Canis lupus familiaris: one gene and its partner. The protein of the gene in region 1 purifies or fractionates together with the protein of each later gene. This does not show direct contact. Links are inferred from orthologs where the notes say so. Each region holds a gene or a part of one and is shown on either strand. Other genes may lie near its edges.

Region 1 (8,302 bases):
ATCTCTGAGAATAATAAAAACAAAGAATACAGAGTGAAGGTTTGTTATTTTGCACCATTCAGTGTTGAGAACACAATTGAGTAGTAAATTCAATAAACTTTTCCTATTAGAAATTAAAAATGAGTTTGCTAGGAAAAAATAATCAGTCCATCTATATTTTTTAATGGTCTCAATGATACTTAAACAGGCAAGTATTCACTTATTTAATTTTTTTTTAAGATTTCACTTATTCATTTGACAGAGAGAGAGCACAAGCAAAGGGACTGATAAGGAGATGGAGAGGGAGAGACAGACTCCCTGCTTAGAAGGGAACCCGATATGGGGCTCAATCCCAGGACCCAGGGATTATAACCTGACTGAAGGCAGCTGCTTAACCAACTGAGCCCCCCAGGCCCCCCCAATAGTCAAGTATTTAAAACAAATTGATCAGTAGAAATAAAATCATCTATTATACTTTGATGAGATAACTAAATGACAACCAACTATTAGCAAAATGAGAAAAATCTGCTCCTTTCATGCACAAGTAAAACCTCCCCCCACCAAAAACCCCCACAAATTACATGCAAAATAATTTAGAGTAATTATCATCTAAAACAAGTTGTTAGTTTTTGCAATTTGAATAAACATCCTTAGAAACAAAAACTAGAGAAGAGGGTAAAATCCAATATAACTCTCTTGTTGCCAGGAAGGAGGTATACTAAAATCAAATTACCTAATCATTCTGTTTTACAAAAATAGGTCTGATTAATGAATCAGCTCACATTACTTTAAAATGAGGAGCTAGCAATATTTTATAAAATAATAATTGTGGTATGGTATAACTATGGTCATACAGATAAAAAACAGTGGCGCTTTTTAATTTGTGCAGTTTCATAATTCGAACAAACTTGCTTAAAATTTGTGGGACGGTGAAGCTCTTACCAACCTCTTACAGTGAAGATGTAGTTTGTCTTTTCCAACCCTTTAAAATCCACTACTTTAAGTTTCTAAATATTTGTGGCCACTTATCAGGAGTCTATCCTTGACCCAAAATAATGAGGAAGGCAGGTATATACTTCTACAGAACCCTTCACCATAAAAATCAGTTTAGCAGCCAGGACTACAAAAAACAGGTTGCCTCTGACCGAGTTCCAATTCAGGTAAACATAGAGTGGGAGCTAGCAGACAGGAAGAGAAGAACATCTGACTTTGCCTGGATAGGCCAGTGAGAACTTTGAGACACCAGGATTAAGCTTTGATTTAGGGCTGCCTACTTAAAGTTGGGCTCAAGGGCATTCTCACAAAAGGACACAAAGTTTGTGGAGAACATCTTGTACAGAGTAGCTGTATGTGGTCATCATTATATGCAAGTGATTTGGATTCCTTCTGCCAGGCCATTTAATCTGCTAGTTTTTTGTTTTGTTTTTTTTATTCATAAAAGACACAGAGAGAGAGGCAGAGACACAGGCAGAGGGAGAAGCAGGCGAGGGAGCCCTATGTGGGACTCGATCCCGGGTCTCCTAGATCAGGCCCTGGGCCAAAGGCAGACGCTCAACCGCTGAGCCACCCAGGCTGCCCCTAATCTGCTGGTTTGATTGGAACTCAGTGAGGGACTGATTATCAGCATTTAAAGTACATCCTTGACTACAATCCCCTCCGGGAGAAACTATTTCTGTCTCACTCTTTATTTTTTTTTCTCCATCTTTCCATGACTTAAGACCAAAGATATCATTTAATCCAGAATTAATCTGTAACTCAGAAAGAGAAACAAACCTTCCTCCCTGATAAATAAGTGCATGAGTAAGTTTTTACAAAGAACACTTTGAGGGGCAGCCTTGGAGGCTCAGCGGTTTAGCGCCTGCCTTCAGCCCAGGCCATGATCCTGGAGTCCTGGGATCGAGTCCCACGTCCAGCTCCCTGCATGGAGCCTGCTTCTCCCTCTGCCTGTTTCTCTGCCTCTCTCTCTGTGTGTCTCTAATGAATAAATAAAAATCTTTAAGAAAATAAATAAAAATAAAAAGAACACTTTGTCTCAAAGATTTCCCTGGGGGGCTGAAGATAAATACTATTATTGAAATGGATGCTTCCTAACGATAACACGGTTCCATTTGGGACAATATGGATGGACGGAACAGGTTGTTACACTATGTGAAGTAAGTCAAATTGAGAAAGACAAATACCATGTGATGTCACCCCTAAGTGGAATCCAAAAAACAAAACACACACACAAATGAATAAGCAAACAAAACGGATCTCTATAAATACAAAGCACAAACTGATGGTTGCCAAAGGGAAGAGGAGTGAGGAACACAGGCTTCCAAAGGTGGAGTAAGTCATCAGGATAAAAGGCAATGATTTGTGATAGGTTGCAGGGCGGTGTCGGAAGTTGGCTACACTTGGCGTGAGCACAGGATTTCCTACAGAGAGATTGAATCACTATGTTTTACACCTGAAACTCGTGTAACATTGTGGGTCAACTATACTTAAATTTAAAAACAAAAAATTCAATTGGGGAGGGAAAAAAAAAGGATACTTTCTTTCCTTTGGTTCAAAGACTGTTTATTTCTCCGAGAGGTATACTCTTGGTATGAAGGCTATCACTGCAAAGGCAATAAATGACACATTACAACCTCTTGGCTCTGAGATGTTCCCAACACTGCGGAGAATTCGGAAACCTCTTGGCCTGAGTAATCGTAAGAGGTATGAATGAATGAATGAATGAATGAATGAATGAATGAATGAATGAATGAATGACACAAGACTAAACCCAGTCTTCGGTGTGCATGTGTCGGTGATGGGTCTTCCGAACCCTCCCGCTCTTTTTCACTTTGCAGCAATCTAGCGACTTCTCAAACAAGTTGACAGTAAAAGCAAGAAATGCGGGATCCCCAGGTGGCTCAGAGGTTCAGCGCCTGCCTCGGGCTCAGGGCGTGACCCTGGACGACCCGGGATCGAGTCCCACGTCGGGCTCCCTGCATGGAGCCTGCTTCTCCCTCTGCCTGTGTCTCTGCCTCTCTCTGTGTGTCTCCCATGAATAAAAAATATTTTTTTAAAAAATCTAAAAGGAGGAAATGCGCTCTGCCTTACACTCGGTGGTTTCCTCTTGATGCGCGGCCTTGCAAGAATTCCTTAGGTCCTCAGAAATCAGCCGTCCCCTACGAGGTGTCCCAGCTTTGAAAGCAAAGCCCTAAGAGCTCTAAGGTGGGTCACTGCCGGCTGCCTTCGTTCCGGTTTTGTTCGTTTTGTTTTGTTTTTGCTTCTCCTCTACGTGCTTCTTTACATAAACCATGGGAACTCAGTCATTGCAACAGGACCTCCTCCCACCTGCCAGGATCCTGAACCGGGGTCTGAGTCAGTTCTCCACGGGCCAGCGATGCCTGGAGGAGACGGCGGACTTTCTTTTCACCTCTTGGACTTAAACAGAAGCCATTCATTACAGATAGGGAAGGAGCAGGGCGTGTGAAAACACACACACACACACACACACACACACACACACACACAATATGGCCAAACTGGGTCTCGCACCCCGGGATCTTCCAACGCTCATTTCCATACCGAAGCGTGTGTGTGGTTCGTCTCCCGGCGGCGGCGGAGGACGTGCACTTTTCGAAGGAGACGCTCACAACTTCATCGCGCTACCGTCGCTCTCCGCTGCAAAATCCACTCTAGACGCGTGGAAATGCATCCAGAGCCTAACCTCCAGTCTCTCCTCCGGCCAGGCGAGCCCTTCCCCGGCTGCGGTCGGGTCCGAGGAACTTCCCGCTCGCCCCTTCCTGCTAACGAGGCCGCTCCTGGAGGAAGGACGCCACCCGGTCCATCCACACCTCTGCAGCGCCCCGTCCGAGCCCGCGCCCCCCGGCCCCCGCCCCGCCCCCCAGACCTTCCTGCCTCACCTTCTCTCGCGACGCGGGAGCCTGGGCTTTAACCCCTTCCGGTCCCCCAGAGGGAACGGGGGGAAGACTAAAGACAACGCACCTACTGCGTGACGCAATTCTGTTCCCCGAGGAAACGAGAGCTTTGGAACGAAAGTACCAGGCCCTCTCGCAAAGGGCTGAGCGAGTGAACTCTCGCCTCTTCTTGTTTGTGGGGAAACCAGAAAAGCTGCCTGGCCCGCCGCCACAACCCCTTGCCCCCACTGCCAACCCCGCGGGCGGTAGAAGTGCGGGGGACAGAACTCGCAGCGTCCCAGAGAAGCCTCCATAGGACTCCGATGTCTAGGGCGTTGTAGCCGCTGCCAGAAATATCGATGAGCGCCTACCTTCAGGTTTACAATGGACATAATTGCAAATTAAAAGAGAGAGAGTCCCACCCCCCCCCCCCCACCCCCCCACCCCCCCACCCCCGGTGGATTAGCAGCAGCGACCTGGCCTCAGGTGCCCTCTGGCAGAGTAGCGCAGGCGGCGCGCTGGCGGCCGGGGTGGGCGGGGGTGGAGAACTCGGTGCTCTGCCCGTTGTGCCTGGCGAGGTGCTGCTGTCCCCGGGCCTGGGGAGTCCCAGCGCGGACGGGGAGGCGAGCGGTGGCGGAGGAGATGGCTTCCCAGCCGCCTCCTCCCCCGAAACCCTGGGAGACCCGGCGAATTCCTGGGGTCGGGCCGGGCCCGGGCCCCGGCCCCTCTTTCCAGTGAGTGTGGGATTCTTCTGGCCGCGGGGCTGGCGGGGCGGAGCGGCGGTTTGGCAGGAGACGGTTGAGGCCGTTGTGGGGCGGAGGTGTCCCCTCCCCCCGCGCCGGGCCCGGGCGCCGAGGGGTCTAAGCTAGAGACCACTCCGGGGCCGCACGGCTCTCTCGGACTGGACGGCTCTCGGTAGGGACGCTCTTCAGGGGGACCCTCCCTGGGTCCCGGCGCCTGCAGGAAAGCGGGAGGCTTTCCTGCCTCCGTTTCCTGGGAGCGGAACACGGCGACAGAACCGCTCGGCCCTTAGAAAAAAATGTTCGACTTTTGGTCTTTGGCAGGTGTGAGTGGCTGAGATTGGCCCAGCCCCAGGTCGCCCCGGAGGGAGCAAAGTCTCCGCCCGGCTTTTACGGCGCCTCTCGGGCAGCTGGTGGAGGCCCCGAAGGTCGCTGTGAACCCAGGTCTATGCACTTTATGTTGTTTTTCTGCATAACTGAGCGACGTTTTGGGTAAAGACCTGGAGAAGCAACTTTCAAGCGGGAGTCCTAAATCCGAGGCCTATATGTAGATGGCCTTTGTGGGTCACTTTTCCAAGGCCTGTGTGTTGTTGTTTATTTATTTATTTGTTTGTTTCTCATCGGTGTCTTTTTTTTTTAAGATTTTATTTATTTATTCATGAGAGACACAGAGAGAGAGAGAGGCAGAGACACAGGCAGAGGGAGAACCCCCCCACACACCCCCCACCCCCATATACTGGGTGTATTCCTGCTGTGTTGTAAGATCTTGTAATCCTTGTTGAAATGTTGAGATACTTGAACACATTAGCAGCTTAATCTAATAATGGTAGATTCATCACGAGTAATAAGCTTTGATTGTACTGTTAAGTTGGAGGGCGACGCTTTCTGCTGTGTTATGAATGATTTGACTTTTTTAAATTAATTAATTTTAAGGTTTTATTTATTTATTTATTTTATTCATGAGAGACACACACAGAGGGAGCCCGACGTGGGTGGGACTCGATCCCCGGGACTCCAGGATCACGCCCTGGGCCCCAAGGCAGGCGCTAAACCGCTGCGCCACCCAGGGATCCCCCCCCCCCCCCGCCATTGGACTTTTTTTAAAACCTTGAACAGCAATTTGGGAAGACAGGTTTTATACTTGGCATCTTGTTAAAAGTCCTGTTTATGTAAAATTAACCTTTTTTTCCCCCCATTTTTCTTCGTTGAGAATTTTAAACACATAGAAATCTGGTAGAGTGTTAAGACAAGGAATACTTGCGGACTCAGGCTAGCTTTAAGAACATTTTTCCAGATCTGCCTCAGATTTTTTTTTTTTTTCAGATTAAAAAAATAATAATAAAACTTAGAGAAAGTGTTAAGCCTCCCATTCTTCTTTCCTGCTATAACTACTGTCCCTATTTGGTGGTTTGTGTGCCCAATTATGTTTTTATAGTTTAGCAGTTTTTGTGTTTTATGTGTGTGTGTGTATCTGTGTGTATAGTGTTTAGTGTGTTTTTAGACTTTATGTTCAAACTATCATTTTGCAAATTTTTTCCATTAAATACTGATTTTGAGGTTTCTCTTGTTCATACTTACATCTGTAGTTCATTTTAATCGCCAAAGGATATTCTATTAAAACAAACTTATTCTGTTGTAGGTGTTAAAGTATTAGCTACATATTAAAAACCGCTAGTGATTTTTTTAAAAGATTATTTACTTATTTGTGAGAGAGAGAGAGAGAGAACATGAGCAGGGGCAAGGGGCAGAGGGAGAGGGAAAAGCAGACTCCCTCAGAGCAGGGAGCCCAATGCCAACTGATCCCAGGACAGTGAGATCACGACCTGAGCCTAAGGCAGACACCCACTGAGCCACCCAGGTGCCTCTGCAGTGACCATTCTTGTGCCTTTCTTCTTGTCCTCATTTCCAAGGTGTTTCCTAATTGTTATTGGAAGTGGAATTGCTTGGTGGAGGGTATGCTTAGCTTCAAGTACTAACTATTGCCAAGTTGCTCCCCAAAGTGGTTTTATACCAGTGTTTACATTTTCACTAGCAAAGTATTGTGTCTCTACATTCTTTCTAACACTTGATGTTATTTTTTAGTTCTTTATTTGCCAACCTAATAGATAAGAAAAGATATTTCATTTTTAATTTGTACTCTCTGGTTAGTAATAAGATTGAGCATCTTTTTTTTTATGAGCATCTTTTTGAATATTAGCCATTTGAGTTTTTTCTGTTGATATTTCTTGCCCACTTTTTTTATTGGCTCCAAATTTGCCTATCAACTTGTTAAAAGTCCTTTATTCATACTTACTCTATTTTTGTATGTTTTCAATATCTTTCAGTCTGTGACTTGTCTTCTTGCTGTATTTGTATTCATGTTCACTTTTGTTGTATAGATACTTTTAATTTAAATATAACCAAAATTTTCATATTTATTGTTTGTGTTTTTACTGTCTTGGTTAAGAAACCCTTTCTGCCTCAGATCAAGAAAATTTTTTTCAAAAAAAATTTTTTTTCTCTATTTTTTAAAAATACTCTGCATTTCACATTCATATCTTTAATCTCCCTGGAACTGACTCTGTTGTATAAAATCAGTTGCAAAGTAGAGAATATAGGTTTTTTTTTTTCCCCCATGGGGATAAATACCCCAGTATCATTAATTTATACCATACTAGTTTATAATGCCATCTGCATCATATTAAGCTTTCATAAATGTGTGGGTTCTGTTTGGGAAGCTTTCTGATATGTTCTATTGGTCTTTCTATTCTTATGCTAGCACCACTTTTTTTTTTTTTTTAAGATTGTATTTTTTCATTTTAGAGAGAGAACAAGCAGGAGGAGGGAAAGAGAGAATCTCAAGCAAACTACCCACTGAGGGACCCCTGCTAATGACCCTGAGATTACTATCTGAACCAAAATCAAAAGTCAGACTCTTAACTGAGCCACCCAGGCACCCCCACACTGTCTTAGTTAATAAGTTTGATACCTGGTATGTGAACAACCTCCATACATTGCTGTTCTTCAAAATTGCCTTTGTTACATTTACCCTTTATAAAAAGACTTACTGAGATTTTTATTGGAACTTTTTGAGAATTTGAATCTTTTTTGCCTTAAATAATGTAACTATCTCAAGGAAGTATTTTTCCATCTTTTATATCCAGCATAATTCAGACTTAAGTTGTTCTGGTGGTTTAGTTGAAATTCTCTTGTGTTCCATGTTGGACAGTTGTATCATTTACAAATAAGCTAGCATAGATAACCATCATCCTTGTATTGCTTCTGACTTTCATTGGAATGCTTCTCAAGTCTCACTATTAAGATATGATGTTTGCTTTTTTTTGTTTTTTGGGGGGTTTTTTTATAAAAAGATGTATTTATTTATTTGAGAGAGAGAAAGAGAATGCACAGGAGAGGGAGAAGCAGACTCCTCGAGCAGAAAACCTAACATGATACTGGGCTCCAATCCCAGGACTCTGACCTGAGCTGAAGCCAGATGCTTAATGGACTGCCCACCCAGGCACCCCTTATGCTTTTTGGTTTTTAATAGATTTCCTTTCGAACTTCTATCTCCTTACCTTGCTCAGATTTTTATTATGAAGGAGTATTACATTTTATGAATGACTTTTATCCATTTATTGAGATAATCATATGTATTTTTTAAATTCGAAAATGTGGTTTATTTGTATCAGTTAACTTTCTTATGTTGAACCA
Region 2 (7,702 bases), on another chromosome or scaffold:
TGGGAAGGCAATTCAGTCTCTTTTTTCTCCTCTCTTATTAGTGCATTCCCTTCTACAGTTAAGGTCCAGCAGTATGCAGAGGAAAATGGGGGGAATGATAGTCTGACTAAACAGCTGTCGCTGGGTATGTTCTTGGGCCGGTAGGTGTACTGTGTGGTGTGAGGAAGAATTATACCAACCCGTAACAGCATCAAATTTTTGCTCCTTGTAGAATATGTGTCATCACATTAGCAGAATCTCATCCAGTTCTTCAAAGTGGGAAAACAATCAAAAGCATCTCCTATCAAATCAGTACTAACTGTAGCCGACTCCAGAACAAGGTCTCTGGGAAATTTAAGCGGGTACGTCCTGTAATCCTCTACTTAAGTCTTCAATGTCTTAGTCATAAGATAGATCTAGACAATTAGATGTGCTGATTTCTCTTTAAGATCTATTTATTTATTTTAGACAGAGAGAGACAGAGCGCGCGCGTGCACAAGCCAGAGGGGCAGGGGGAGAGGAAGAGAGAATCTCAAGCAGACTCCCATGTTGAGTGCAGAGCCTGACATTACAACCTGAGCTAAAACCAAGAGTCATACACTTAATTGACTGCACCACCCAGGCACCCCTGATATGCTGATTTTAAGAATACTTTAACCCTAAAGAAATTCTTAGACCAAAAAATGAAGTATTTCAGGAAGTATAGGATTTGTCATATTTTCAGGTTTTTAAAAATTTTTTTATTTATTCATGAGAGACACAGAGCAAGGAAGAGACACAGGCAGAGGGAGAAGCAGGCTTCCTGCAGGGAGCCCAATGTGGGACTCAATCCTAGGACCCCAGGATCACAACCTGAGCCAAAGGCAGATGCTCAACCACTGAGCCACCAAGGCGTCCCATAGAAGACCCTCGTTTATACTCCCATTTGTAGTTTTGAAATCCCCCATTTGTGGTTTTGAAATTATAATGTACCTTATAATTATTAATTTCTCTTTGTTCAGGGAACACGTGGACTTCGAAAAGCATGAACCTTTCTTAAAAGATAAAGTCTAGGGCAGCCCAGGTGGCTCAGCAGTTTAGCACCACCTTCGGCCCAGGGCGTGATCCTGGGGACCAGAGATCAAGTCCCACGTCAAGCTCCCGGCATGGAGACTGCTTCTCCCTCTGCCTGTGTCTGCCTCCCTCTCTCTCTCTCTCTCTGTCTCTCATGAATAAATAAATAAAATCTTAAAAAAAAAAAAAAAAAAAAAACAACGATAAAGGCTATAGGGGCATCTGAATGGCTTAGTTGGTTGAACATCCGACTCTTGATTTCGGCTTGGGTCATGATCTCAGGGTCCTGGGATTAAACCCTGCATTGGGCTAGTGCTGAGCATGAAGCATGCTTGAGATCATCTCTCTCCCTCTGCCCCTTCACTCCTCCCTCCCTCCCTCTCTTAAAAAAATAAGAAAGAAAAAAAAAGGTAAAGTTCATCAACTACAAGCATAAGGGTACTTGTGAAATTCCTGTGATAAATCTTTGTCCAAAATCATAACACTTATTTGTTGAAAAACAGAGGACCTGCATGTGGAACCCACTACAGATAAATTTTGATTCTCAGCACTGCCATTCACTTATTCTCCCAAGGGAAGTGATTTTAAAAAAGGGTCAAAACACTTCTGCTCTTTTAACACAGACCCAATGATAGACACACCTTTTGGGACAAATCCCCAGCCCGAAAGTGAGGAGTCACATTGACAGGTATTTTGAAATGAAGTACCCATATGCAGAGGATTGAAGCCAATGTGGTAGCATCTTTATACTGTCTAATAATGTTTTGAGCAAGGGGTGCCTGGATGGCTCAGTCGGTTGAGTATCTGACTCTTGGTTTCAGCTCAGGTCATAAGCTCAGGATCTTGGGGATCAGGCCCCATGTAGGACTCTGTGCTCAGCTCAGAGTCTGATTGTCCCTCTCCCTGCCCATCTGCTACTCTCCTCACCTCCACCTCGCTTACAAGTTCTCTCTCTCTCTCTCAAATAAAATCTTTTTAAAAGAGAGAGAGAGAAAATAACGTTTTGAGTGGTAAAGAGGTTATAGGAATAGCCTCTTAACCTCAAATACCCATGTTAAGTGTAGGAAAAATTTCTGGGAAAAAAGTGAGCAACATGAGAGATTTGTGCATCAGTTCCCATGAGCTGCCTTGTAGATGTTTGCTAGAACCTCACGGGATACATCAGTATAGTGGAGTACCTGAAACAGTCATGCTGTAGCATTGGAACACATGTCAAAATGTAGCATTTGCTTCTCAGTTACAGGATATTGGGTAAACTAGTTTTATTTGCTATTTAAAACTTTTCTGTATTTTCCCAATTTTCCTCAAAGTGCATTCTTTTTAATTAGAAATATCACTGCTTCAAAAACTGTTAGTGATTGACCCTAATAAAGAAGTTCCTTTAGTAAGTTTGTATAAATAAGTAAGGAAATTTAATGAAAGTAACTTTGTATAAATGTTATCATACTCTGTTGTGTTGAATTTTATATTATTGGTTATTGAGGGATTTTCTTACACTTTGGAAATTGTTGTATCTGGCCACATGTAGCTTTCTTATTTAAAGTTGATAAAATAGGGGGTCCCTGGGTGGCGCAGCGGTTTGGCGCCTGCCTTTGGCCCAGGGCGCGATCCTGGTAGACCCGGGATCGAATCCCACATCGGGCTCCCGGTGCATGGAGCCTGCTTCTCCCTCTGCCTGTGTCTCTGCGCCTCTCTCTCTCTCTGTGACTGTCGTAAATAAATAAAAATTAAAAAAAAATTAAAAAAAAATAAAGTTGATAAAATAGGGATGCCTAGGTAGCTCAGCAGTTGAGCCTCTGCCTTTGGCTCAGCGCGTGATCCTGGAGACCCGGGATCGAGTCCCACATCGGGCTCCCTGCATGGAGCCTGCTTCTCCCTCTGCCTGTGTCTCTGCCTCTCTCTCTCCCTCTCTCTCTGTGTGTGTCCAATGAATAAACATATAATCTTTAAAAAATAAAGTTGATAAAATAAATTTAAAAAAATTTTTTAAACTTGACAAAATATATTTTTAATCTTTAATTAAACTACCTATTATTTATCTTAGTCTGCTCTTTCCCCTAGAGCCTACGATGGTACCTGGCCCACTTACATAAATGTTTGAATAAATGGCTTTTCTGTAGTATTGGCAAATACTATATTTTTATTTAAAACAGTAGCTCCAGGAATGTATTCTAACACTGAAGACTGCCTTTCAAAGGAAAATGAAGATGTCCCTCATTTAATTACTTCTTCCCTTTTATTATCAGGGGGCACAGTTTCTAACAGAGCTTGCACCTCTGTGTAAGATTTACTGCTCAGATGGAGAAGAATACACCATATCTAGGTAAGTCGCTTTTTAACCACAATTTAGGAGAAACAAAGGAGGTAGTATCTTTCTTCAAAACAACTTTTGTTTTAAATAGCTGTGTTAGAGGACGGTTGATGGAAGTGAATGAAAACATTCTCCATAAGCCATCTATTCTTCAAGAGAAGGTAAAGGAGGGAGAAAAAAGTATCCCATTCTACATACTTTTTAATCTCATTTTATAGATAAGACAATATTAAATATTCAATTCCTTTCTAGCCATCGACTGAAGGCTACATTGCGGTTGTATTGCCCAAATTTGAAGAAAGTAAAAGCATAACAGAAGGGTTACTGACACAGAAACAGTATGAAGAAGTCGTGGTGAAGCGCATTAATGCCACAACGGCTCCATCATGAGGATTGTAATGGGGTAATGAACAACGCGGCATGCTTATCCCTCCCTGGCCTGTGGCCTGAGCGATCCATGCACTAAAGAACCACCTACACATGTGAAGTGCTTCACCCCAAGCCATCCGCAGAGAAGCCTGACCTTAAAACTTAACCTAGTTTTCCCCCTTTATCTTTTATAACGAGTCTTGGTTCTTGTTTTGTCCTCAGCCTCCCAGATCTGCCCTATGTACTCACTCTGTTCTTGTGCTTTTCTAACAACTGGCAAGGAGAGGATGTTTTTCTGATTAAAAATAAAGCACTTTGAGAAAAATTTGGATAAAACAGATAAGTGTTAAATAGCAAAGTAAAAATAATTTAACTGGGATCCCTGGGTGGCGCAGCAGTTTGCGCCTGCCTTTGGCCCAGGGCGCGATCCTGGAGACCCGGGATCGAATCCCACGTTGGGCTCCCGGTGCATGGAGCCTGCTTCTCCCTCTGCCTGTGTCTCTGCGCCTCTCTCTCTCTCTCTCTCTGTGACTATCATAAATAAATAAAAATTAAAAAAAAATTAAAAAAAATAATTTAACCATCATCCCATAACCCATTAGTAAATACTACATTTTGATATGCTTCGGTTTGAATGTTACGGCATGGTTATTGCTTTTGCCTTGATTTTCCTTCAGTTTAAAGTTGGGGAAAAAAAAATCAGGCCTTTTTTGCCCATTTGGCTTCTGAATGACACTACAGAAAAGGCTAGAACAGCCTCTTCAGCCCTAGCTCTTCTCCCTTTAGATTGTAGGGGAGGGGCAGAGCATAGAGTATACCTCCTCCACTCCTTATACAGTCTGTAGCTCGGATGGCCTTCTCTGAAACAAAGTCGAATGTAACACTGGCTTCTTAAATAAGGGATATAGGAAAAGGCTTTGAAAACTACAAAGGGCTTTCCCAACGTGGAAGTATTCTAATGCAGTGTAAAGCTGCTTATCACAGTACGTACAGTGTAGTTGCTCACACACTCTAGCTGTGGTGTAGCCAGCCAAGAAGTCATTGAGAAGTTGCTGTAATCCAAAGACATAGATGCCTTTGAACAGAACAAAAACTTTTACATCATCTAAACTAAAAACAGAACTGATAGGCTTTAAGATTGTCTACTTACACTGAATTTCAAATAAAAGGACTTTTTAAATTGTTTTTTTTTCTTAAAGGCTGTAGCACATGTACATTTAAATATCTCTGTAAATAAAACAGAAGATGTAATTTAATACAGAAGAAATCCCTTTACTTGTAAATTCCTTTGGTTCTCTATCCGCTTAGCCTGTTGGTCGTAAGTCACCCCTTCCTCACCCCCCATTGCACTTAAATAAGAGAATATTCTCATTTCAGGTATATAAAAGTATTTTGTAAATAAAATCTAGAAGTTATTTTTGATTCACAAGAAAAACTTCTTGTAACTTGAGTGGCAGCATGACTGTCCTTTAAATATACCCACCAGACATAATATAGGTAGTAAGTGTACAGACATCTACACTGATGGTGCTAAGAGCTGGAAACAGAAGCACAAACCAGCTGATCCCCATTTTGAGTAGCATAATGATTCCTGAAGACATCAAAAAGATACTAAAGATAGTAAAAGATGTATTTTTGCATATAACATTACCTCACATTGTTCTCCCATTATTTCTATTTCTATTGTAATTTTAAATAATATTTTGGTCTCAGAGAATAAAAATCATGCTTGATAATTTTTATAAAAGAAGTATTTTTAAAGGTATTAACTAAGCCAAGTATATCCCATATTTTCCTGAATGCTTACAGTAACTTCAAGTGTCTTTCAATAAAATATTGACTAGCTAATTGGTAGTACTGTGGTTCTTCAGAATCTTGTGAATATTGATTGTGATAGCTGACCCAGATAACAATCATCACACAAGCTTATATAACTACTGCAGTCTGGCAACTGACGTGTCCTATCAGATTTCAAAATGAATTTCACAGCACTGGAATACAAGCATTAGCAAAAGTTCAAAACATGGTTAAACCATAAGGAGAGAACATATAAACTACGTCCCTTGATCAAAGCCCCACCCCAAACAGAAACAAAGGTTTAAACACTAAAATTAAAAAGATGAAAGATGTTTATTTGTTTTATAATGAACGTTCCAAAGGCACATTACAAAATGCACGATTATTCAGAATTTATTTTAAACATCTTAGTTCCATTGTTCTCTGTCTCGAATCTTCCATCAGTCAGTACAGAGAAGGATGGTTCAAAGACATTTTTTACACCAGTAAGACAGGCTTAGGATTCCAGCTATTACACAATAATATTGATAGCTGGCTATGGTAAAAGGAGAAGTGAAAGCCATCCCCTAGTGAGTTCCTGTAGGATTCTGTGGGTGAGCTCCATGACCCCACTTTTGGGAATGGGAGAGGGATGTGCAGCACAACAGAGCCCATGCTATGAAATGCTTGTTAGAGAACAAACGTGTGCTACCACGATGGGTGGTCGGTGACAGGACAGCAAAGAGGCCAGTCACAATTGTGGACAGAGGGACTGAAGAAGAGTCCACAGATTTAAGGAAACCCCTGCATTCACCCAGACAACTATGAATATATATATATATTTTTTCCTGCTGAAAATTAGTGTTCTAAATGATAGGCTTAAATAAAAGGAAATTAAGGTATTTTATGCCAAAGGTGAGCACATATTCAAAATAGCTTCTTTGGATAAAACTGTCACTAAGACAGTTGGGATATTTGGTTTGACTTTCAAGAACAGTATTAGTGGCAACGTCCCATTGTAAATTCACACTGCAATTAAGAATGTAGCAACTACCATTGAATTTATTAGTTGTCAAAAAACATCACAATCAGTTTTGTGATCAGAAAATAAAGCAAAATTTCATTATTGTTTTCCTTATAAAATTGTTAAATTTCTGAAAATATAAAGGATCATTTGCTTTCTAAAAATACCAGCTTTGCTCCATGCTGTTCCAGAGATCTGACCCCAAAAGCTTCTCAAGTTTTACCATCGACGGAGTCTTTATTTGTAACTGAGACCCATCTGTTATTTTCCATCTGAAGCTGGAAAGGGGTAAGACAATTAGCTTCTACTTTACTTTCAAAACAAAAATTGCCAAAATTAAATAGTAACTATTTCTTTTGCATTTTTCTTGAAACTAGTTTTTAAGTGTGATTTTCAGAAAAACTCTTACCTTCCTTAGTAGTTTATAGCAAAGTGAGAGAAGTTGGACCAAAATAGCCATCATGGATCTTGTCTTTATAATACACTTATCAATCTATAATGACAGAAAGCAAGCAAATCAAATTCTACAAAGGGTACTTCAAAAGACTGTATCATTGATTAATTTTGAACTGATAAAATATCTTCACTGTGGAAATCTAAAGGATCCTCAAAGGCATATGGATTAGGGCACATAAGCCGACTTGAGGCCCCAGAACACAAGCGCAGGGACTGCTGCCCAGGTCTCATGCCCACTTCACAGAACCCCATGAAGAATAAATGGAAAATCAACCTGTTCTATTTCAAGTTATTTTGGCACTTCTTAAAACACTCCAAATAGTGACAGTGAGCCCCCTACTTTGCAACTTCTGGCACTCTGCTTTGTTGGCATTAGCCAAATTCCCGAAGACAAACAATGGGAGCCCCTGCTTTGAGGAATCTGTGCCCTGGTTAGACATGTGACGACATCAGGATTTAAGGGTAGTTGCCCAGTGTTGCAGAATTATGCTCAAAAGGCTAATTTATTTGGTGAACCTACTGCTCCCCAGGCTGTTATAACTACAGATGATAAATGAGTCTTGCAATCAAGGTATGAAAAATGGAAGTAAACGGCCTGTAACTAATAACACCTCTGAAGAAAAATGGGCTAGAAACAAACCTGATAAGTGTGAAAGTTTCTCAAGTATCTCCCTGAATAACCCACTCCTCCTTTTACCTTTAGAAACACTTGATTTTGCAAAGGTGTCTTAGTT

Evidence for each region. The genes of interacting proteins can lie anywhere in the genome.
Region 2: the proteins of PUS10 (region 1) and ABITRAM purify together in Homo sapiens (affinity purification with mass spectrometry; 3 studies listed by BioGRID and IntAct, counting the BioPlex papers as one, with this or other methods). This does not show direct contact. The link is inferred for Canis lupus familiaris from reciprocal best matches to the Homo sapiens genes PUS10 and ABITRAM.

The regions. Positions count from the first base shown.
Region 1 is NC_049231.1:62,390,721-62,399,022, forward strand, and holds the start of PUS10 (tRNA pseudouridine synthase Pus10), read right to left. Parts: upstream 4,905-8,302; 5' UTR 4,604-4,904; coding exon of another isoform or gene 4,512-4,603; 5' UTR 4,346-4,511; intron 4,256-4,345; exon of another isoform or gene 3,876-4,255; intron 3,774-3,875; exon of another isoform or gene 3,538-3,773; intron 3,394-3,537; exon of another isoform or gene 3,067-3,393; intron 1-3,066. Other genes in the region: PEX13 (peroxisome biogenesis factor 13), read left to right, coding at 4,512-4,603. UniProt on the Homo sapiens protein: Protein with different functions depending on its subcellular location: involved in miRNA processing in the nucleus and acts as a tRNA pseudouridylate synthase in the cytoplasm.
Region 2 is NC_049232.1:64,462,950-64,470,651, forward strand, and holds the end of ABITRAM (protein Abitram), read left to right. Parts: intron 1-211; coding exon 212-341; intron 342-3,278; coding exon 3,279-3,355; intron 3,356-3,434; coding exon 3,435-3,504; intron 3,505-3,595; coding exon 3,596-3,733; 3' UTR 3,734-4,968; downstream 4,969-7,702. Other genes in the region: CTNNAL1 (alpha-catulin), read right to left, coding at 6,725-6,790, 6,922-7,005, 7,666-7,702. UniProt on the Homo sapiens protein: Actin-binding protein that regulates actin polymerization, filopodia dynamics and increases the branching of proximal dendrites of developing neurons.